Schizosaccharomyces pombe: one gene and its partners. The gene in region 1 interacts genetically with each later gene. Each region holds a gene or a part of one and is shown on either strand. Other genes may lie near its edges.

Evidence for each region. A genetic interaction does not mean that the proteins touch.
Region 2: mutations in def1 (region 1) and sap114 together harm fitness more than expected from each alone (negative genetic interaction), as found in Schizosaccharomyces pombe (one large-scale study listed by BioGRID).
Region 3: mutations in def1 (region 1) and plb1 together harm fitness more than expected from each alone (negative genetic interaction), as found in Schizosaccharomyces pombe (one large-scale study listed by BioGRID).

What each region holds. Positions count from the first base shown.
Region 1 is NC_003423.3:567,769-575,905, reverse strand, and holds def1 (RNAPII degradation factor Def1), read right to left. Parts: upstream 4,969-8,137; 5' UTR 4,846-4,968; coding exon 1,954-4,845; 3' UTR 1,586-1,953; downstream 1-1,585.
Region 2 is NC_003424.3:1,170,333-1,176,718, forward strand, and holds sap114 (U2 snRNP-associated protein Sap114), read right to left. Parts: upstream 4,117-6,386; 5' UTR 3,824-4,116; coding exon 3,697-3,823; intron 3,648-3,696; coding exon 3,341-3,647; intron 3,278-3,340; coding exon 2,961-3,277; intron 2,876-2,960; coding exon 2,501-2,875; intron 2,458-2,500; coding exon 2,138-2,457; 3' UTR 2,019-2,137; downstream 1-2,018. Other genes in the region: cardiolipin synthase/ hydrolase fusion protein Crd1, read right to left, coding at 1-129, 172-938, 1,030-1,524, 1,568-1,624, 1,667-1,794; ept1 (CDP-alcohol phosphatidyltransferase class-I family protein), read left to right, coding at 4,239-4,375, 4,426-5,449. UniProt on the Schizosaccharomyces pombe protein: Involved in pre-mRNA splicing. May be involved in endoplasmic reticulum-associated protein degradation (ERAD) and required for growth at low and high temperatures.
Region 3 is NC_003424.3:1,072,313-1,078,628, forward strand, and holds plb1 (lysophospholipase 1), read right to left. Parts: upstream 4,382-6,316; 5' UTR 4,307-4,381; coding exon 2,465-4,306; 3' UTR 2,019-2,464; downstream 1-2,018. Other genes in the region: SPOM_SPAC1A6.11 (uncharacterized protein), read left to right, coding at 1,222-1,542. UniProt on the Schizosaccharomyces pombe protein: Catalyzes the release of fatty acids from lysophospholipids. Required for survival under high osmolarity, for normal osmotic stress-induced gene expression, and for nutrient-mediated repression of sexual differentiation.

The DNA of each region.
Region 1 (8,137 bases):
CTTTTTTTTTCGCATCATCCCAAGTCACATACTTTACAATTCATTTCGCATCGTTCTTTTTCTTTCGCACGCATCCCCCGCCATCCTACATACTATTTTCACATTTACTCTATCCATCCCAAATTTACCCTAAATTATCTACCACCATTCAAATCCGCTCTCTACCCAACAACCTCATTTACATGTGCCAATTCCTAAATCACATGTTTACCATGATATGTCTAACGGTATTCGAGGCGTGATTTCTAAAAAGTCATGCAATTCAACATAAATTTTCCCCAAAATTCATCGATAATCCTGTTACCTTTTTTTGTTATAAATATTCATTCCCTTTTCTCTTTTCTTTCACATTTGTCAACGCATTCTCTCACCGTTTCACTTGTCTCAATAGCTTTTTTACAAGAGCGTTCACTCCCATTTCACTTATTTCTTGTCTCCATTTTTTAATTCTCTGTAAATTTTATCCAATTCCTTTCTCAATTGCTTTTATATCGAGAAACGAATTAATTTCACCTGACTATATTGATTTGTAACCCAACCCACTCATCATTGATCGCACTTTTCCTTACCCATTTGTTTACTGGATTCCATCCGATAACCTATGCAATCCTAAAATAGCGAGACTCGTGAAGTAACATACTGCGGGTCTCGCTATTTCGGTGGTGGTTTTCTTCTCACTATTTCTCTATTTCACGATGGGCAAATTTTTCTTTATGATGAAAATATCTTTTTCCCTTTCACGTTCCAAGTTCTGAAATCATTACTTACAAATTACTAAATTTCCTTTCTAACATCTTTCTCACTACTTTCCTAAATTACTCCTCGATGTGTTATTGCCATTGCTCCAACTTTCTCCGTTCTTTATACTTGAAATACAGTTAACCCTTTATAATGACTACCATTTTACTTGCTATTACGACTCGCTATTTTTGCGTTATATTGCTACTATTTTCAACCTTATAGGAATTAATGTTTCAAGACATCGATCTATTGAATTTAATTGGTTTGATTTGATTTGAATTATAATCTACTAGGAGTCTTTTTCCTTTTCAGAACTTTTTCTACGTTTGTGTATGACACTGTCTCTTCTTCAACTACATCTACATGAACGAATCTTGCCAGTAGTGAAGGTTAGACATTCTATTTTTTCATGAGAATTTTACAACAGCGACATGCTGTTTTGCTAAATTTGGATGTTTCAATTTGCTATATTTCTAGAATCAATAATACGTATTATACAAATTTGCTCTTCATTTCAATGTAAATAAAAGTATCAAGTTTTTCTATTCAGTAGACTTAGCGTATAGGGTTGACGTAGTGTTGTTGACTGAAGTGTGGCATATATTACTAGCGAAGCTTTTTTTTTTTTACACTTTGCTTTAGCGAATTCGCTTAACATTTGCCGTCAAAAATTGTTTAAAATAGGAATGCCGAGTGAACCACCCCCCTAAATTGCCAACTGATTAAACGTGTTTCATTAGCACTTGACTTTTGGAAATATAATAATCATTACTTGAAACTAGTTATCCCACTTCGCATTGCTTACCCACACCTACAAATACCTTAACATCAAATCTTTATTTACCCTTTCCCTCTTCCAAAACGCCAGTTTGTTTTAATAATGCAATAAAAAAATACTCTATGAACATACAAGGAATTACCATATAATGGCAACATTACGGCGTGGTATGATATGTTATGATATGAACAAGCAACATTTCAAACTACATAATTAAGCACTATCAAACAGAAAACACATGTGACCACATAGCCATATAAATCACACACATATATATATTGAAAAACTTCATAAATTCGATTGTCCCAATAAAATCGATTTTACCCTTCCATTAATAGCATCTTGTCCGCAATTATTTTTAGCCTATTTTTGAATCCTTATAAAAAGCATTTTCCAACTTCTACGTTATCAAACTTTTTGATCATAAGTTCAATTTAAGCATTACCGTACCAACCTCCTGGTCGGTTTATAAATGACTGGTTGTATGCATTATAGCCTCCTAATCCATTACTACCTGCATTGGTAGATGCTCCAGAGTTGAACGGAAACCCAGCGGGTTGGCTGTTTGCATTGTTGACCTTGTTAGCATTGCTTTGAAAAGAGGTTGTCTGCTGAGTAGCAGCATTGGTCAATGGCGTTTGTTGAGGAGGTAAGCCATAAGGAGAGGCCGCATTGGCACTAAGGTTTTCAAAACTTCCAACATTACCCATAAACATACCAGGAGCCGCACGTCCCATCCCTGACATGGAAGACAAACCACCCAAAGTACTTGACATGCTGTTCGCCCCGGTTACGCCTCCATTTCCAATCACAGAGTCACGATGTCCAGCCGCTTTCTCAGTCATGCCGCTAGTATTTGCAGTGGCATTATTAATTGGGTTGCTAGTTTGTGTTCCACTCATACCACTTACATTGCCAGGCTGTTGTCTGTTGTACACGTTGCTGTGTCCACCAAAGATGGGAGGGAAATCATTAAAGCCGCTCTGAGACATGTATCCTTGCTGGGGCTGTCCAAACTTGTTATTATTGTAAGGCATCGTACCGTATCCATAAGACACATAAGGAATAGGATACATTGGAGGAAATGCATAAGGTTGGGGCTGTTGTTGAGAAACAACAGGGCTAGGAGTCGCTGTTCCAGCAGCAGGTAGAGAAGTAGCATTAGAAGATGCAACCTTGTTATGCATTACCGAGTGCACATCTGGTGTATTCGACGCACTACCAGCGACATTATCATATTGTGAGTATTGATTACGCTCATTATAGTAATGAGCTGCTGGTGCAGCTTGACCATATTCAATAGGAGACATAGTAGTGTATGCTGGATGACTAGTCTGTTGATATTGTTGAGAAGTATTTGAAGCATATCCCAATTCAGTACTATGGTCGATGTGTTGAAAATTGTCGAATGGGCTATTGGCGGAGCGGTTTTCCACAGGATTCATAAATCTAGAAGAATATGGAAGTGCAGTTGTCTCCCCAGCATTTGAAGATGCAGTTTCGTTGTTAAAAGCAGCTCCGGTAGACGGAGGAATAAGACTAGCACCAGCATATGGTTGAGGGGAAATTCCATGTGTAGCAGGAGAATAAATACCGCCATATCCGGCACTTTGTTTACCAACCACCGGGCCACTTGTAGCACTTGTGGATGCAGCGGGTATAGTCGTTTGGGCTGATACTTGAGGAGGGATGGCCGAGACAGAAGAGGCGTTTCCACTGGCCGGTAAATTTACATCGTGTAAACCACGATATGGTGTCTCGTTAACATGAGATTCCTTCAAGTTTTCGGGAACCTTCGATTGTGGAGCACGGCTTTCATATGCTGAAGTGTGTTGTTTCTTTGGGATTTTGGTGGATTCAGCAACTTTGCTCGCCTCTTTTTTTGCCTCTGGCTTTGGTGAAACTGTCTTTTTAGGAAAATAGGAACTTCTTGGTCCAGACTGTGCTATGTTGTCTGAAGAAGACTTTGTCGATTTTTTGTCCTCACCCCCAAGTGTCAAGCTTCCGAAACGCACTTGAACCTTTTCGGGAATAGCAGCAGTATTAGCAACAGGCATAACGACGGGGAATCTATCAGAAAGTAATCGAGCAGTAGTCATACTAGTTGTAGAGCTTTGAGAGCCAACAGCGGCTTGCTTCGCAAAGGAGGGCTTAGGTAGGGAAGCAGAAGAGATGTTGGAAAGCCCAGGAGCGGGCTTGACTGCATTTATGGCAAATGGGGCAGTACTCTTTTTGGGAGCTGAGGTAGCTGTGGAGGGGGTCGTTTCAACATTTGCGGGAGTTGCAGAGTCCTGGGATTTGTGAGGGAAAGGAACAGATGAGGATGACAGTTCAGCAGGTTTTTCGTAAGCAGCGGAAACATTAGTTTTAGAGGGTTGAGAAGGAGCGATAGAGGGTTTAGAAGGTTCGGATTCGGGAGCGGGAGCGGGAGCGGGAGTGACCTTTTTCTTCGACTTTGCAACTGAAGCCCAAGCCTTCTTTATAGGCTTTGAAGATGCAACAGCCTGATCAGCCGCACTGGTCGACTTTGCTGAGGCCGAAGTACCGCCTGCGGTGCCGTTCGTATTTGTTGAAGCAGCGGTATTAGCCGATGTTAAAACTGAAGCTTGTTCATTAGATGTAGTATGATCTTTCATTGAGGAATCTTCATTAATAGTACCAGGATCAACGGAAGAAGACACTGTCGTTGATGCAGGAGCTTTGGTAGAAATTTCTGAGGAAGGAAGATCGCCAGTACCAGCAGGCTTTTCTAAAGAGGATGGTGCATGAACGGAAGAAGGATCTGAGGGAGCTCCTGCTTTTGATTTTCGAACCCCCCGAGAAGTATCCTTAGAAGCGGAAGGTTTCTTTGATTTACGTGTAGCATTACGAAAGGTGGAAGAGACATTATCGGAAACTGGAGCATGACTTGTTGGTTTGGACTTTGTTTTAGGGATTGGCTTCTTTTTAACTTCACCCCATTTGGAGGCGTGACCTTCAGTAATATGCAATATGGTCAGTTCCAAATCCCGGTCCGCTTCTTCTAAAGCAAAACTTAAATCATCAATCGTCCAGCTAGGAAACAGCTCTTGCAATACGCTTAACTGCGAATCACGATCAAATTCGAGCTCAAGCGCATTTGATCCCTCTATATTACTAGTCTGAGACGAATTTGCCGGGCCAGATTTTCCTTTGGTGCCTCGCCTTCCCTTCGCTCCTCTCTTGGCGGAAGAGGATGAAGTTTTATTATCTTGCGATATATTTAACGCTGTATCTGTGTGTTGCTTTTCTGAAACTTGTTCGGTATTTCCGACCTTCTTTGGCCGAAACTTTTTATTCTCACTCATTTTTGATTCTACTTTTCTTTACAAAAATTAATACAGGTCTTGAAAATCGACAAGGCACGTGTATTCGTGCTTCAAGACGATATGCAAGATTTTTCGTGTTATTTAAGGGTAGTGGTTCTGGCTGCGTTTTGGTGTCGTGCAGCATAGTGCTTTTGCTTAAATGGAAATTGCCTATACCAGAGCAAGGTGGTAGTGAATGCGCTAAAGTGCAAACTATAGCTTTCCTTGAAATTTTTATACATAGAAAAACTTATAACGTTATAAAGAACAATGTTATTGTTTAAATTTTACTTTACTTTTTCTTCATTTTTGCGATTACCTTTTCTAAAAGCTTGATTTATATAGTAGTGGAGTGCAGTTTACTATTGTATTTAACGATTTACCGTTGTGTATCTTTATTGCTCTTAAGACAATAGCTAGTTAGCTGCTTGCCTGAATACATGAAAATATGATGAAAGTAGAGCTCATTGTATTAACTTTTCTATTGCCCAATTTCTTCGATACTGTTAAAAGATGTGCAATTCGTTTAGCTAAATTCAAGTTGACTAAACACCTTTCGTTCCATGCTTTGCTATTACAGATTCCTAACACGTTGGTATGTTTAGAAATTTGCAATGCAATATCGGGTATTCAGTTGGTCAATTTATGAAAACTTTAATTACTGCTTCAAGTAATAATCCATCCGTTCTAATTACGCGGCTTCAGTAACATTCGAAGCTCTTCATTCACTTTGTTGGGTTCAAGTGAACCACACTTATAAACGTGATGCCCTTTATCTAAAAAAATAAATATGAAGCCTGCTAATATTAAATTAACAATAAAAACAAGAAACATTGCTTTGGCCGGGAATCGAACCCGGGTCGAATCGATGGCAACGATTCATTATACCACTAAACCACCAAAGCTTGTTAGAATGCTCTATTAAAAAGCATATATCTATTTAATTGTAGAGTTATAAAAACATAGAATATTGATAAAATAACATTATAATTTATTCAAAAAAACTAAATTGTACAGCTGAATAATCGCCTAGTTATATTAAGATAAATTCTAAAAGCATTATTATCAAAGTTTCTGTCAATGCTTATAACTAATGTGTCAAATGGTTTGATGAAGCGTTCGCATTATTTTACTATTTCATCTTTAATTTTGTCATTTTTTACAAATTTTCGTTGTTTTTTAAAAAAAATTGCTGTGAACTTTAGTAGTATCATCTCGCAATTTATATTGATTTTTCTTCTTTTTATTTTTATTTTATTTTTTTATTCAATTGTTAGTAACCAAAATTAAGTCACCATTTTTGGCAATTCAAATGACTAACTAATTATAAAATAATAAAATCAAACGTGCTAAGATTCTATGTTTAAATTGCTAAAGTCAATACTCTCTTCTTGTGAAGAGTCCATTTTCAAAACGACAACATAACAGAAAACTGTAAAGAGTAATGAAAAGAAACCCACATTTCAAGGAATAGCATATCTATCTATTGTTGCACTATAATTTTTTAACAAAAGCGGCACATTAGAAACCATTTTCTCAAATAAAAAATTGATTTTACATTGAAAACTGTCAACGATGAACAATAAACAGTGCATTCGTATGACAACAAGATATGGACAAGTTAATTCGTACGCTAGAATTGTTCTCAAATGTTTACAGATAGGTTTGATATATTTCAAAATCTTTATTTGTCACTATTTTTTACAGTATCATCAACAAAGCAGCATAAAAAATTCAGTGAAGCCGTTAACATTGTAAGAATAAAATAATATTCCGAAAAAAAAAGAAAGGAGCCTACAGCACCCCGGATTCCCATGTTGTCTCCAACCATAGTACTAACGAGGCCCTCAGACGCTTAACTGCAGTGATCGGACGGGAACTGGTGTTTTCGCCTAGGTGTGGCCGTAGACAGTTACTAAGCATATTTAATAAATTTATACACATACCTAAAGCTGCGAACAAGTATTAATCAGGTTTTGAAATAAATGTAATTTATATTCCTTCATGTGAAGCTAATAAAATAAATTGATAATAAAGATATCTTACTTTAAGTTCTCATATGTGTTTAAACTGAGTATTTACAATCCAGCATATTTTGTGTTGTTTGAGAATATGTCTCCAAAAGAAGTGCGTCTTCTTTTATATAAGTAGAAAGTAAAGGGACAAAACAATTTCAATTCTATTCATTCGAAACGCTTATCGGGAAAAGTATTTCCGATTCAGAGGAATAAAAAAGAAAGACAAAAAACTTCAGTGGTTTATTCAAATCAGCCAAGACGAGTCCCAAGTTAAAACGACAAACAGTATTTTAACATTATTGAAAATATCATAAACTAAACCGATTTCAACCCTTTCCAAAATCGACCCTTCTCGAAACTATTGGAAACCAGTTTATATGTAATACAATGGCAAGACTGAATTTCTTATAGTATGTAAAAGCACTGTTTTAAAGCATAATGAAGATATCTCTAATCCCAAATAAACATTGAGCTTGCGAAATTTACGAAGCATATTAGATTGTGTATCTAGAGGTGAGCCTACTTTTTTTATTTTTCTTGATTATCAATGAAAGAATTCTAAAAAATATGTAAATTAAATAGATATAATGTTGAACTTTCGTTGGCTTGTGGGTTGCCATTGAATAAAACTAGTTCATTATCCACCACTTTTCATCAGCCACCAAAAGCACATTCTGCTTAAACGTTTGGCTACAAAGCACGGACACATTGTTTTGCCCTCATTGATACTAAAGTACGTTTCTGATTGAATAGCAGCGAGACTTAGTAGCGTGTAGTCGCTTGACAGCTTTCTTTTTCCCTTCCGATAATTACAACTACTACTTTCTATTTCGAAAGCGTAAAAGTAGTCTTTACATGCTGTATTTTACTGTTATTCTTTGTTATAACAGGTTTTAGAAAAGAAGTAAAATCTTTTTCTTTTCAGAACGGTTATTCTTTTGGTTTTGAAGTTCCAAAATTTCTTTTGTTTCTAGCGCATTTAATTATTTTGAAATATTATTGGGCCTGCATATTTGTTCTTCCTTTTCATTTCTATTTGTGTTCATTCTTTTAATTGTTTGCTTTCGTTTTGTCTTTTCCATTTTTTTCTATATACTTATTCGAAAATCTCATTTACGAAATATATCATCCATCACATCTCACATCCTTATCTGATACTTATTTATTACACATTTTCGACAAATTAGAACTTCCCTCTTAATATATCTTGCGCTTATTGTCTATATGAGCAAAGTCGTCGATTCTTTTGATTTCCTTTAGTTATTATAACCCCC
Region 2 (6,386 bases), on another chromosome or scaffold:
CAGTAGTTGGTATCGCAAAATCGAAAAATCGTCTAAAAGTTTTAGGTGCTGGCAACGATTTATAACGAAGATATGAGACAGCCGAGACGAGCAACACATCCCTTCCAATAATCAAGCTAGCAAGAGTTACTAGATAAGGTTAGATATTACTAATAAACACAAAAAGCATACATGGCATAGTCTCACGCACCGCTAAACATATTGTCAAACAAGTCATTAACGTTTTATCGGCTAACGGATCAAGTACTGTCCCAGCAATGCTGCCTAAATCAAACTTTCGAGCTATATACCCATCAACCAAATCCGTAAATCCAGCATATAAAAAAAAGCAAGCAGCAGCTTTAGTATAATCATAAATGTAAAGATAAGCAATTAATGGAGCTGAAAGGAGCCTTGAGAATGTCAGCAAGTTTGGCAAGGTAAAAATATTCTCACGCAAAGGCCTTTGAATAGGCTTACTGTTATTACTTTTTGTCACAGTGTTTAAAACACGAGAAGAGGTGTGAAATCCACGAACCTCGCCCATTGACTTGTTCAATTTGGCAGCAGGAACGTGTTTGGATAGAGCCCAGCGCACACCTTCCCATACATTATCAGAAACGTGCTTCGCAGAATATTTAGGGCTATTGTCTCCTTGGAAGATACCAGTACGTACTAAAATACTAGTCCAACCGTAATTATTCGCACCACGAATATCACTTTCGGGGTTATCACCAACCATGAAAATTTCCTTGGGAGGATTGGTGATTCCTAAAGTTTTATGCTTCTTCATTAAAATGTTTTTAGCATAATCATAAGTCAGCTTATGAGGTTTTCCATATTTCGTATTTCTTAAGTCCTTTCCAGTAAGTTCTTTAAAAACACTTTCACAGCAAATTGCAAAAGCTCCTTGACCTAAGCGGGGAAGAGGATACTCATTAGGCCAAATTAAATCCGCACTATAAAAGCTGTTAGCATTCACTCATAGTATTCGAGTACAGCTTGCAAAAATATTTTTACACAAAAGATACTTTCCAAGAAATAACTTACTTAGAAAAGTAAATATCGGGACCTTCATTTGCTGTCTTCGAAACTGTTCCTAAAACACCATTCTTCGACTGGCCCAATTCCATCACCAATTGAAGATCCAAACCAAGTCGGACAGGATCGACATAAGTGAAAACTGCTTCAATGGGTCTAGTAACGTCAAAGTCTTTTGCATCTTTAATATCTTCTTCGTTAAAAGATGTGAAAGGCCAAAATGGAGTTCCTAACTTTGCGATGACATCGAGTTCATTGATAACACTTTTAAACCCATACTTTTCAGCAGTTTCACGGACGCTGTTGTCTTTTCCTCCAAGAACCAAGACGTGCTTATACTTATCCGCAAGAGCGCGAAAGGGGGTATGTGATTGACAAAAATCATCCTCTGTTAAACTTACGCTCAATGTCTTGGAAAGACGCTGAGCTCTAACACTCTCATGCATACCACCTCCATTCGTTAACAGAATAAAAGGTATATTATTTTTTTGCAAAAATTTCAAACTTACAAGTTAGTTTGAAAATGGTAGTTCATAGTTAAGCTTACGTCTTCGTTCCTTCTTTCAAACCTCTTCCTCCTCTAATTAAAACTCCATCAATACTGCTTTGGTTAGTTTCAAAAATCGATCATTAATTACTGTATTACTCAAATGCGAAACAAACATCTGCAATAGGGCTTTTAGTAGACGATTCGGTCGTAAACTTTCGAAACGTTGAACGCCCTAACTGCCTGGCAGCCAAATGCCAAGATCTATAATTGATAGTATGTAGCATTTATTAAAGCCGATAAATGAAGAATCAACAATGTAAGAAGTAAAAAATTAAGAGGTTTGTGCGGTTACGTGGTATGACAACTTAAGGATGACGGTGGGCGGGTATGAAAACCAGACCCGCATTTCCTAAGTTAAAATCCAGCTTTGTTTAGTGTATTGGACTTTTTATAATAAAGAATATTTGTATTCTCAATTAGTTGGAGAAAGTCTACAACACCTGGTTTATTTACATCTTATTTATTTCACGAGTTGTAGAAGCAAATTAACTAATAGATTTCGGCGTCCTACGAAGCTTAAATAAAATAAAGTAAAAATTAACAAAATTAAAAAAAGTTCTATGAAATCTACCGGCGTTTATTTGTGGGAGTTGCTCCCCAAGCGCTCTGAGTAGCAGCACGTTTTCTTCGTTCGATTTCCTCTTGAGAGATTTCTACCCCGTTTTGGACGTCAAACAAATCAGTCCGTTGACTAACCAATCTTTTCATATTTGCAGCAACGTTCACGTTCTCTAAATTTAAAGTTGATTTCCTAGATTCTTCAACTTTGCGCTGTTCCTGCCAGCGAGGGTCAAGTAATTTTAGACGCATATGCTCTTCTAGTTCTGTAGCGGGAACCAATTCACCTGAGAAAGGCGATATCTCCATCGGAACTTTGGGCTGGAAAGCTAAACAGGGTCAGTAAAGTTACAATAAGGAATATAAACTTACCCTTTGGTACTGGCTTTTGTACCTTCGGCTGAGTAGTGGTAGACAAAACGGGAGAAGCTTGTGCGGCAGGAGAAACTGAAGTAGTTGAAGAAATACCTCCTTTTTCTGGAGAAGCAAGTGATGGAGGAAGAGAAACACCAAATTCTTGTTTTTTAGGCGCACTTATGGGCTCCCAAGGCTCCGCTGTAGGAGGAGCTTCCTCAATAGTGTAATTTTGGTCAGGCATGGTAAACATGGCAGACTTTTGTTCTAAAGTAGCAGTTTGTAAATCCGCTAAATTCGTAGGTTTAGCTAATTTTGCATGTTCATCGGACTTTGTGAATTGAATCACTTCAACAACGACAAAATCGTTCCAATCAATTTGTGCATATTCCACTAAGACAAGTTAGTTCCAATTCAAATGGTAAATGAAGAATATTGGACTTCCTGAACCAGTTTTTGCATCTCAATATACACTTACACTTCTCTTTTTCGGCTTCTTCCTTTTGTTTTTTCTTTTGGCTCTCCATATGCGATTGCCACCTTACACGCGGCTGAATTTTAGAAAGTAAGCTATAAGGGTCTCTCACATTTTCACGAAGCTCCTGTTCTGGCGAAGAAATGGGCTCTCTAATTAGAGAAGTATATTGTTGAACTATACGCATAAAGTAAGGGTACAATGCATTATTTGGCTTTAAAAAATCAAATTGAGTGTTATTCCACTCTTTTTGAGAAAGACTCACTAAGAAAGAAGAACCACGAACTGCCGCATATCGCGCAGTTAAACGGAGCACGTCTCTAGATTCACGGTTAATTAGCAACTTCAAAGAAGAAGGAAATAATAGTTGAGATGATACTTACAAATCTAGTGATGAAATAGAAGGAAGTGGTTCTGAAAACAAGTACGGTGAGGGAGCAGGAATAGTTGCCTCTATAGGTTTTTGAATGGGACGAGCCAAAGTGGATGTTTTTTGGGTTGACAAGCCTGTGGCATGACTCTTCAATTTTCCCTCCCTCGCTTCAGTTAATTTGTGCTGATAATATGGGTGGTAGGGGTCATTAGCATGCAAGAAAGCAAACTTAGTATTTGCCTGTTCATTCTGGCGAATTTTTTCTTCAAAAGCTGGGCCATTTCTGGCAACGTAACTAGCAGATTTATCAATTATTTCTAAGCTACGTTAGCAGGCGCGTCTATTGTACTAATTACTATGACTCACCTCGAATTGCTGGAGGAGGTAAAATTACCCCTGCAGGGACCGATGAACTTTGATCAGTGATGCTTTTTTGGTGTTCTGTTTCATTATTTGTCGTATTTCTGTCTTGGAATTCCATTAAAGAACTCATATGTGAGACTTATGCAGAAAAAGGTAGTGGTGGAAGGACACTTGTCGCACAAGGCAGATGAAGCGATGGACAAGCGAAAAGAAAGGACTATTGAAATTCAATAGAAGTTTATAAAAGTTTAGGGCGACCTTGCTGCTCTAAACAGTTGTTGCCTAGGGCATCCGTAATCCACTGCGGATGGACAAATAACATCAAAACGGTTGATAGCAACAATTATCCTTACAATTTAGAATTTAAAAGATAGTTATAGTGCAAGTTTTTTTGCAAGCTACATTATACATTTATTTATCGGTAGAAGGTTTATCTGCATTCGTTGCTTTGCCTTTATTTCTACACACTAAGACGCGTAACATGTTTACCCTCTACCAGTACTTTATCGGAGAATAAGGAAAGGATATCCAGGTAGTTTCTCAAGATGCAGTTAAACCGGAAGCAGTTAAAGAATCTTCATAACTATAAATATAGTGCGATTGATAACTCACTTCTTTCAAAATATATTTTGAAGCCGTACTGGTGGAATCAACTTTTGAAGGTGATTCCCATGTCTATGGCGTATGATCTACACCCGTTTGCTTGCTTATTCTTACTAACTCTTTACTTAGACCTAATTTGATTACTTTGATCGGGCTTGGATTCGTTGTTATCAATATCCTTACTATGCTTGTGTACAAGTATCATTATGAGATGGATGCTTTCCCATCATGGGTGTATGCTTCTTGGGCGATTGGCCTTTTTCTTTACCAAAGTTTTGACGCTATTGATGGCTCGCAAGCGCGTCGTACTGGCACATCATCTCCATTAGGTCAATTATTTGACCATGGAGTAGACGCCATCAATACGAGCTTTGAAGTTTTACTGACGATTGAACTGCTGCAACTAGATATGTTTAGCTCAATCCTTACTCAATTTGCCAGCTTATTATACTTTTACATCTCTACTTGGGAAGAATACCATACGGGTACTTTGTACCTTTCATACTTCTCGGGTCCTGTCGAAGGAATTGTAATGGTTATTGGACTATTTGCCCTTACAGCTATTAAGGGTGATTCTTTCTGGCTCAAGCTACATCCCACTCCCGAGTCATGGGGATTTGTACGTTCCTTTCTGCCATACTACACATATGGATCATGCTTGTACAACTTTATGGCATTTGCCCTGCTATTGAATGTCTTACAAAGTTTACGAAATGCTCTTCAAGCCGTCCAAAAGAACAACGGAAGTGTGATTAAAGCATTGAGTGGTATCCTTCCCTATTTCCTCCAATGGATGGCTGTCTTTTCACTCTATGCCAAGTATCCTGCTTTCTTTGAACATCATTTCCTCACTATTTTTTGCTTGAACGCTTTTATCTTTGCTTATTCGGTTGGAGTGGTAATTGTTTCTCACATTACCGAATCTCCCTTCCCATACTGGAATGTGCTTATTCTTCCATTCTTGGTGGATGCCGTGGACGCCTATACTTTTGGCGTATTAAAAAACGTTCAGACGGAATACTTTTTTTGCTACGTTGGAATTTGCATTGGTGTTTACGGCAACTTTGTTGCACATGTCATTGCCATGATTACGGAAGAGTACGGCATTAAATGTTTGACTATTCCATCCAAACCAGAGTCCAAGAAGAATTGAACTAGATGATGATGGTTTGGACAGAATAGAGATGAGAACAAAAGGGTCCAGAGAGATTTTGTCATTGATAACCTTTCGGTCGATCTTTTGTTCTGCAATGTATCTAACGGATCAGAAGTATCAAAATGATCCATTTCCTAGTAGACAGGTTTTTTTCGGTTGTGTGTTTTCTGCCAACAATATGTTACTTTTGTTTGTTTTCCTGCTGTAGTAATAAAAGTTGGTTTTTTTACCAGAACATAATAATGAACAAGTATTTCACTTGCGACTTCGTTCACTAAATGATCCAGCCTTTCGTATCCTTTTAACTAACTGTATATACTGATGAACAAATGGTCCATTTGTCTTCTACACTGCAAACTTGCTTTTCACCGTGGAATACCGGGGCTGCACTAACTAAGATGACTGGTTCCACATGTGCAGACCGGAGCACTTTTCGACAACCTTCTTTTAATTAAGGTTCTTATGGCAGTTCGTAACGATTTAACAATTTCAATAAATAGCCATCGTCCTGTCCCATTGCTTCTTTGGGCATTGGTAGAGTTTGCCCTTTTAAGGCAATCTTTTGCTACATAAAGGTGACTCAAGTTTACGCTGCGATTTTACTACTTTTCTAGCATATGATCTACAAAAGGTCAGCGAAATTTTTCTTTGACTAGGAAAATGGATTGAGGTCATCTTCGGCAAGGCAAGCTGATATTTAATTTAATTGTTCATATCGGCAACATTTCGTAATTAGTTGAAGGGTATGAAAAACGGTTCTACGGTTATCTAGATGTGTTTATTCACTGTTTCAGCATAATATCACTTCCGTTACGTGCGGGGCACTTCGTCATGCAAATTGGTGGTTATATAGTATATATAGAGAGACAAGGCCAGCATTATTAAATCGTCTTCAAGCTCCCTTTTTCCGCTACACTCATAACTTTTACGAAAT
Region 3 (6,316 bases), on another chromosome or scaffold:
CTCAAACAATTTTCTTGTGAACGAAAACAACACAACAACGGAATATTTGTAAACGGATGGTGAAACAAATTAAACCAAAAGCGCCCTACTACGTAAAAATTTTAAAACTCCTTATAGCTGAAATTCACCCGTATTCCAACGCAGCTCTTACTGTATCACTGTATCTGCTTACCGTGCTGTTATTTCTGCTCCGGTATATGAGGATCTGATTATTGTAATTTGTGTCTAAATAAATGACAAGTTAGTATCCAAAGTTATTGATTTTTATTAAAAAGCATAGCGTCTCAATGTTAAGATAAACACTGGATTTTGCTCTTGAATTTGGCGAAACGCTTGACAATTCCATGGTTTATAAAATTTTCTGTTTGCGGTATTGCGGAATCAAATGCGAAACCATTTACCATTTCTGTTCATCGGCAAACGTCGCATCGTAACCGAAAACCTGGGATTCATCTGCTTTATGTTTCATACAAATGACTTGCAGTTTTGCAATTTCATTCAACAAATTCATGAATTCCTATTCTTTTTCTTTTATTCCAATTAAATACAAGCTCATGCCTAGTCTCCAAGCAAATCCCCCCTTACACTTTCTTACCCTAAAAGTTAGTAGTAGCTAAAGTAGCGACTTGTGCGATAATTTTAATATTGGGAAAAGGCAAGTTGAAAGTGATTCAGCCTATATATATATGTATATATATGTAAGCAGAGACACATATGTCTATCTTTGACAGATTTTTTAGATTCCCATTTTGTAGATCAAAAAAGGTCCATTTACATCCCCATGATGTAAATGCCCTTCCGTTCTATGCGAAAAGAGACCGAGACTGTCGGTCCTTTAAATATCGCTTAATATGTAAAGTTGTTGTGTAAATCTATATTTTGAGCAGTCGCTGAGACGCAAGCCTTTACGTTGAATTTGTTGCTCATCTTCTGGTCAACTATGACTGCTTTAAAGTTCACATTGGGATGAATGTTGCTAAGCTATATATCTAAAATCCTTAACGACGGAAACATTTGCAGGTTAAGTATAGGAGAATGTAGCGTTCAACCGGGCTGGTTATTTCAACTGCGCCGCCCTCGGATATTAAGTGTGCCTCTTCGAAACCGGACCTTTCTAAGGAACTTGCAGATTGTCCTTGACTATTATTTAACACACATTACTGGCATCAAATTAGTCGCATTACATTACAACTGGCCGCATTTTACATAATTGATTAAAATATGAATCACAATGTTTATTTATTAACTTCCTTCAATCTTTGGAGTCATGGTGTATATAAAATATCATCAATCTCTCTCAGTAACTCTTTTTTTCCTCATAGTTTCATGTTTGTAAAGTCGCTACATCTAATGACATCACAACATATCTTCAAGTGTCTTTCTTCTTGTAATTATGCTCTTTCAATTCTACATAATATATGTTTAGCCAGTTTTCTTTATTTATCAAAATGTTATTATCATACACACATACTTACTTCTGTTCGATTAGATTTTTGTAAATCGCATGCGCATACCTATATCAAAAGCAAAGCCTCAACTTAAAGTTAACTCGGATCCCATTTCGTTTAGACTTAAAGCATAAAATGCACACTTGCTAAATAATTTTGCAAAACACGTAACTCACAGTCATCGGATTAGAAAGTAAAGCCCGAGGCCGAGCAAAACCCGCGCAACTACTACAATTTTTTTCTCCCATTACTCGTTGTGATGTATTCTATACTGTCTCATCTACATCCCCACTACTTCATTGATTAAATTGCGTACAGTTGATATAATTTGTAAATGATCGTATAATCTGTTTTACGTTAACTAAATTTTTTCATTTCTACATCTCCTTCCTCATCCTAATTAATGAATTATAGGCTGTATGTTAAAGTTCACTATTCCTTGTTCAAGTATAGCAAACCTTTAAAAATCAAATTTTATCATACAAAATATATACATATAAATAATAATTTTTTGAATCAAACAAAACAAAAAAATTACAGTCAACTTATTTATATAGACAAACAACATTCTTATTACAACCAAGAATTAAAAAAATGACTTATTTTCGCAACTATATATAACAGCAACTCTCATAAACAACTAGAACACGTCCAATTTGGAGCCGTCAACAAAACTGAATTACAGCAAACGAAAGCTCACAATAGAAAATGAACAAAAAACATTCCGAAGAGAGGGTAAATTAGAATAAAATACTTTCGGAAGATAACAAAATAGTCTCCCTAATTAGAGCGGAGTGAACGTTCAGTTTAATAATCCGTTAACAAAAACCCATATCGCGTAATTGGATTGATTCACATATATGGCTAGGTTTGATTTATGCTAAGACAGCAGACATTGTATAGATTTTTTTTAAAAACTTTTTTCCAGGCATAAGCATTGCCCTCTATCTTTTGCTTGTGAGCAACAGATATGTCGTATAAATACTGAAGAGAGAAAAGTTTGCATGCGCCTTTCCTTAAATGCCTTCACCAAGACGGCAAGTAGGATTGTAGACAATATCATCATTAGCAGCGCTGTCATCATAAAGACCGCTCCAGCAGTAGTTATAGTAGCATTGTTGGCACTCGGGGCTAGCAGTGATGTTGTTACGCTCCAAAGTACGCTTAACAACGGCACAGGCAAAACATTGACCAAAGTAGGTGTCATTGTCAACGGTAGAGGAAATAAGGCCGTTGGTAAGAAGTTGTTGAATCATGTCTTCAGTGTAGTAGGTGCGATCAGTGGAAATGTTAGTGAAGTAGTTGTAAGGAACGTTGGGAAGATAGATAACCAAAGGAGGAGTGTCACGGGTAACAGTGTGGTTACCAGCAGTGGTGTTACGACCATCACAACCAAAGAAGACAGGGCGATCGTTGAAGTGAAGACTGACAAAGGATTGTTGGCTAGGAACGTAGGGGAAACCCTTAACATTGGTGTTTCCGGCAGCTTGGGCAGCAACGACACGCTCATAAGTTTGGACAAGAGAGTTACCGTTGGGCCAGAGCCATTCACTGTCATCACCATTGTCAACGGCAACGATAACATCGACATCACGACCCTTTTGCAACAAAGGCCACAAAGGAATCTTCTCACCAGTAAGGAAGGTATCAACTAAGTTAAGGGAAGAGCTGGAACCCAAGTTGTTGGCAGCATCAGAATTAGCACTCTCAACACCTTGGAAGGGGTTGGGAATGGAGATGATTTGTTGACCGTTTTCAGAAAAGTTACCTTTCAAGTATTGTTGGATGATACGACCGTTCTTGGTAGAAGAGTCATTGAAGTTACGCATTATCTTGTTGAAGTAAGTAGAAGAAGCACCCATCATGAAACCAAAGTTGTCATAGTTGATAACGCAAGAACCATTGCTGCTAGCACCATTGTTTAAGGTAGTACCCAAGTATTCGGTAGGAATAAAGGAGTTGATTCCATGGTCAAAGGTACCGAAAACGTTGGGGGAAGCTTCAAAGAAAGTAGTGTTAACATTGCTAATATCCTCACCATAGTTTTGGGTAGCAAAGGTAATGATGGGGTAAGGGAAGTTGGCATTGCGGTACCATTCTTGGGAAGTAATACTAGACAAAGAGACATTAGGGAAACCATAAGTAGTGTCACCAAGGGTACGAGAAATCACACGTCCCCAGTAATCGGAAAGACTGATGTTAAAGCCAGCATTGGCCTTTTCGGCAACTTCATTCATAATAGAACTGTAGAAATGAGCGTTGAAAACAATAGCACTCTTGGGATACATCAAAGGGTGGTTGAAAGCCCAAAGTTTGCTAAAGTCGTTAATGGTACTGAAATTGTTGAGAGCAATGCCACCAACAGTCCAGGCACTACCATCAGTACCAACGAGATAGTCAGAGGCTTGAAGGAGACCAGTCAAAACAGTGTGGTTGTCGTGACGAGCATCCATGGCAGAGAGGGCACCAGAACCCAAAATCATGGCACGTAAACCACCACCGGACAAGGCAATACCGATAGAAGGACCTTCAGAGCCAGAAAGAGTATCGGCATTCAAACCAGGCAAGTTGGCGTTACGAAGGAAGTCCTTCATGGCAGTGTTGGTAATAGTAGAACGAGTGCTCAAGTATTCAGACTCGGCGCTAGGAATCTCATTGCTGGAGAGACTCTCGACAATGTTATCAGAGGGACAGTCCACATAATAAGGAGCGTAACTGGGTCCCTCTTGCTTAGTGCTATGCTTCTTGGCACGCTTGAAGACCTTGACAGAACCATCGTCTTCAGCAGCGGGAAGAGCAAGGGCAGAAAGGCAGGATGCCAAAAAGAGCATCCACAGGCTTAATCCGCGGAAAAGCATTTTGAATATTTAAACTAAAATGTTGAGAATAGATATGCAAAGATGTATGCAAATTAAATCCCCAAATGAACGTTCAAAGTTGGGAGTGGGACGGAAAGGGTATATAAGAAAAAAAATTTAATAAACGTCACACGAGTGTATTACTTTCCGAATGACACCCAATCAAGATCTCGGACTGATACTATTCCGTAAGTCGGAGAGGAAAAAGTGGTAAAGTAACAAAAACCTAGAATTTGCAAATAGTGGACGAAAACACAAACCCCACAATAGATAGAACTAAAGAAGGCAGGAAAACGGGACTAAAAACAAAATGAAAGAACCTGGCAAACGAAGTTTAATGCAAAGGTTCAAAATGAATAAAATCTTTTCCCTAAAGGATAAATAATAAATATTCAAAAGGAAGATGTAGGAAAGTGCTAAAAGTACAACGATTTAAAAAGTCCACGACGACCTTTTTTTGTTTGAGTGAGTAATAAGAAAGAGAAAATTAAAAAGGAATAACGACGAGAAAACCGGAAATCGCACCAAAGGATACACTAGGAAAGAAAAGTGTGATGATGATACGAGAAATTATGATGAAGGAATGAGGGAATCACTGAAAAAAGAAATTAAGCCAAATCACAGTGTTGGATCGTAAAATATGTTTTTGGATTCAACTAATGCGAAAACGCTCTCTAACCGAAAGAGTGTTAGTGTTTTCTTTTTTGGGGTATTTTTCAAAGAGCTAAGAAAAAGGGAGCAATCACAAGAAAGGAAAATGCAAAATTCCTCGCTTGGATGGATTAAGATTTAAATAAAAGTAAGGAAGATGATTAGGGATTCCAAAAAACGGAATTTTTTGTTTTGAAACAATGAACAGATCAAGGAAAGTTGTTTGATTGCGATGGTGGTGAAAATGCCTGTGCACCAGCACCACTTATATACCTGGGACCAGTCGCTCGGAACAAGGTTTCAGTGCATACAGTCTATAATTTTACATGGATTATACAAAGAAAAATAAAATAAATCATTTTATGTATTTTATTTTCAAGTTTTTGATTCTCATTTTTTTGACTTCAACTTGCATCTACCCCACAATCTTGACAGAATCCATGTCTGGGGCCCCGTGAGTACCGGCAACTGACCCTCTAAAAATTAGGAAGCAACTGCAACATTGGTCCAGAGCTGCGACGATGTATCCAAGCAACTGGAGTAATAGTGGGATAGAGTTATCATCAAAATAACGCTGCCCACAAGAAAGGATGGGATGTTTGTCTACTGGCAAAAGGTACACTGGGGAAAAATACAAACACTCTACTCACCGTTTAAACCCTTCTATACTACCGCTGGTCAGACAAGCTTCTAATTTTTTTACGGATTCTGTTGTAAATTGTTAGAATTCTTGTTTTTTCTTCGTTGTTCGTCAGTTTAACCCCGCCAAAACCCAAAAAAAAGTGTTTGAAACACTATTCTAAAGGTGTTCGCCCCTCACCATTCCGGTAAGAAATCAGGCAAGTATCCGCTCAAAAGTTTGGCGGGGAAGAAGGAAAAGAGCCTAAAGTCGGACGAACAAATGCGGGGTGGTGTAGAGGAACGCAGTCTAGAACAATGGAGGAACACATGCGCAGTGCAAAAATGTCTACCGCAAGAGCAAGAAAATTTTCGCACCAATTATTAGTTAAATGAGGAGCATCACATGAAAAAGTGGGACATATCCAATCACCTCTCAGTATTTTGTTCACTTTGCTCCCCTCGTTTTCCCATAGTGTGGAGAACATTCATGAAAACCAAACCTTCCGCCAATCAAATTACGGTTTGAAAAATTCTACGTTTCTATTCGCCGTCATTCGGAACAAGCGAGCTTCCACCTTTTACGTTGACATCATTGAAAAATGGAGATAATGGGGTTAAGGAAAGTGTGGGGCTAACCTTCCAAGTTACCTTTCCCTCCATGACGTGGAGTACATTTAGGCTCGTAAACTAACGTGCGTACGTTGGACTAGCTATGCTGCACGCTATTTGTCAAAAAAG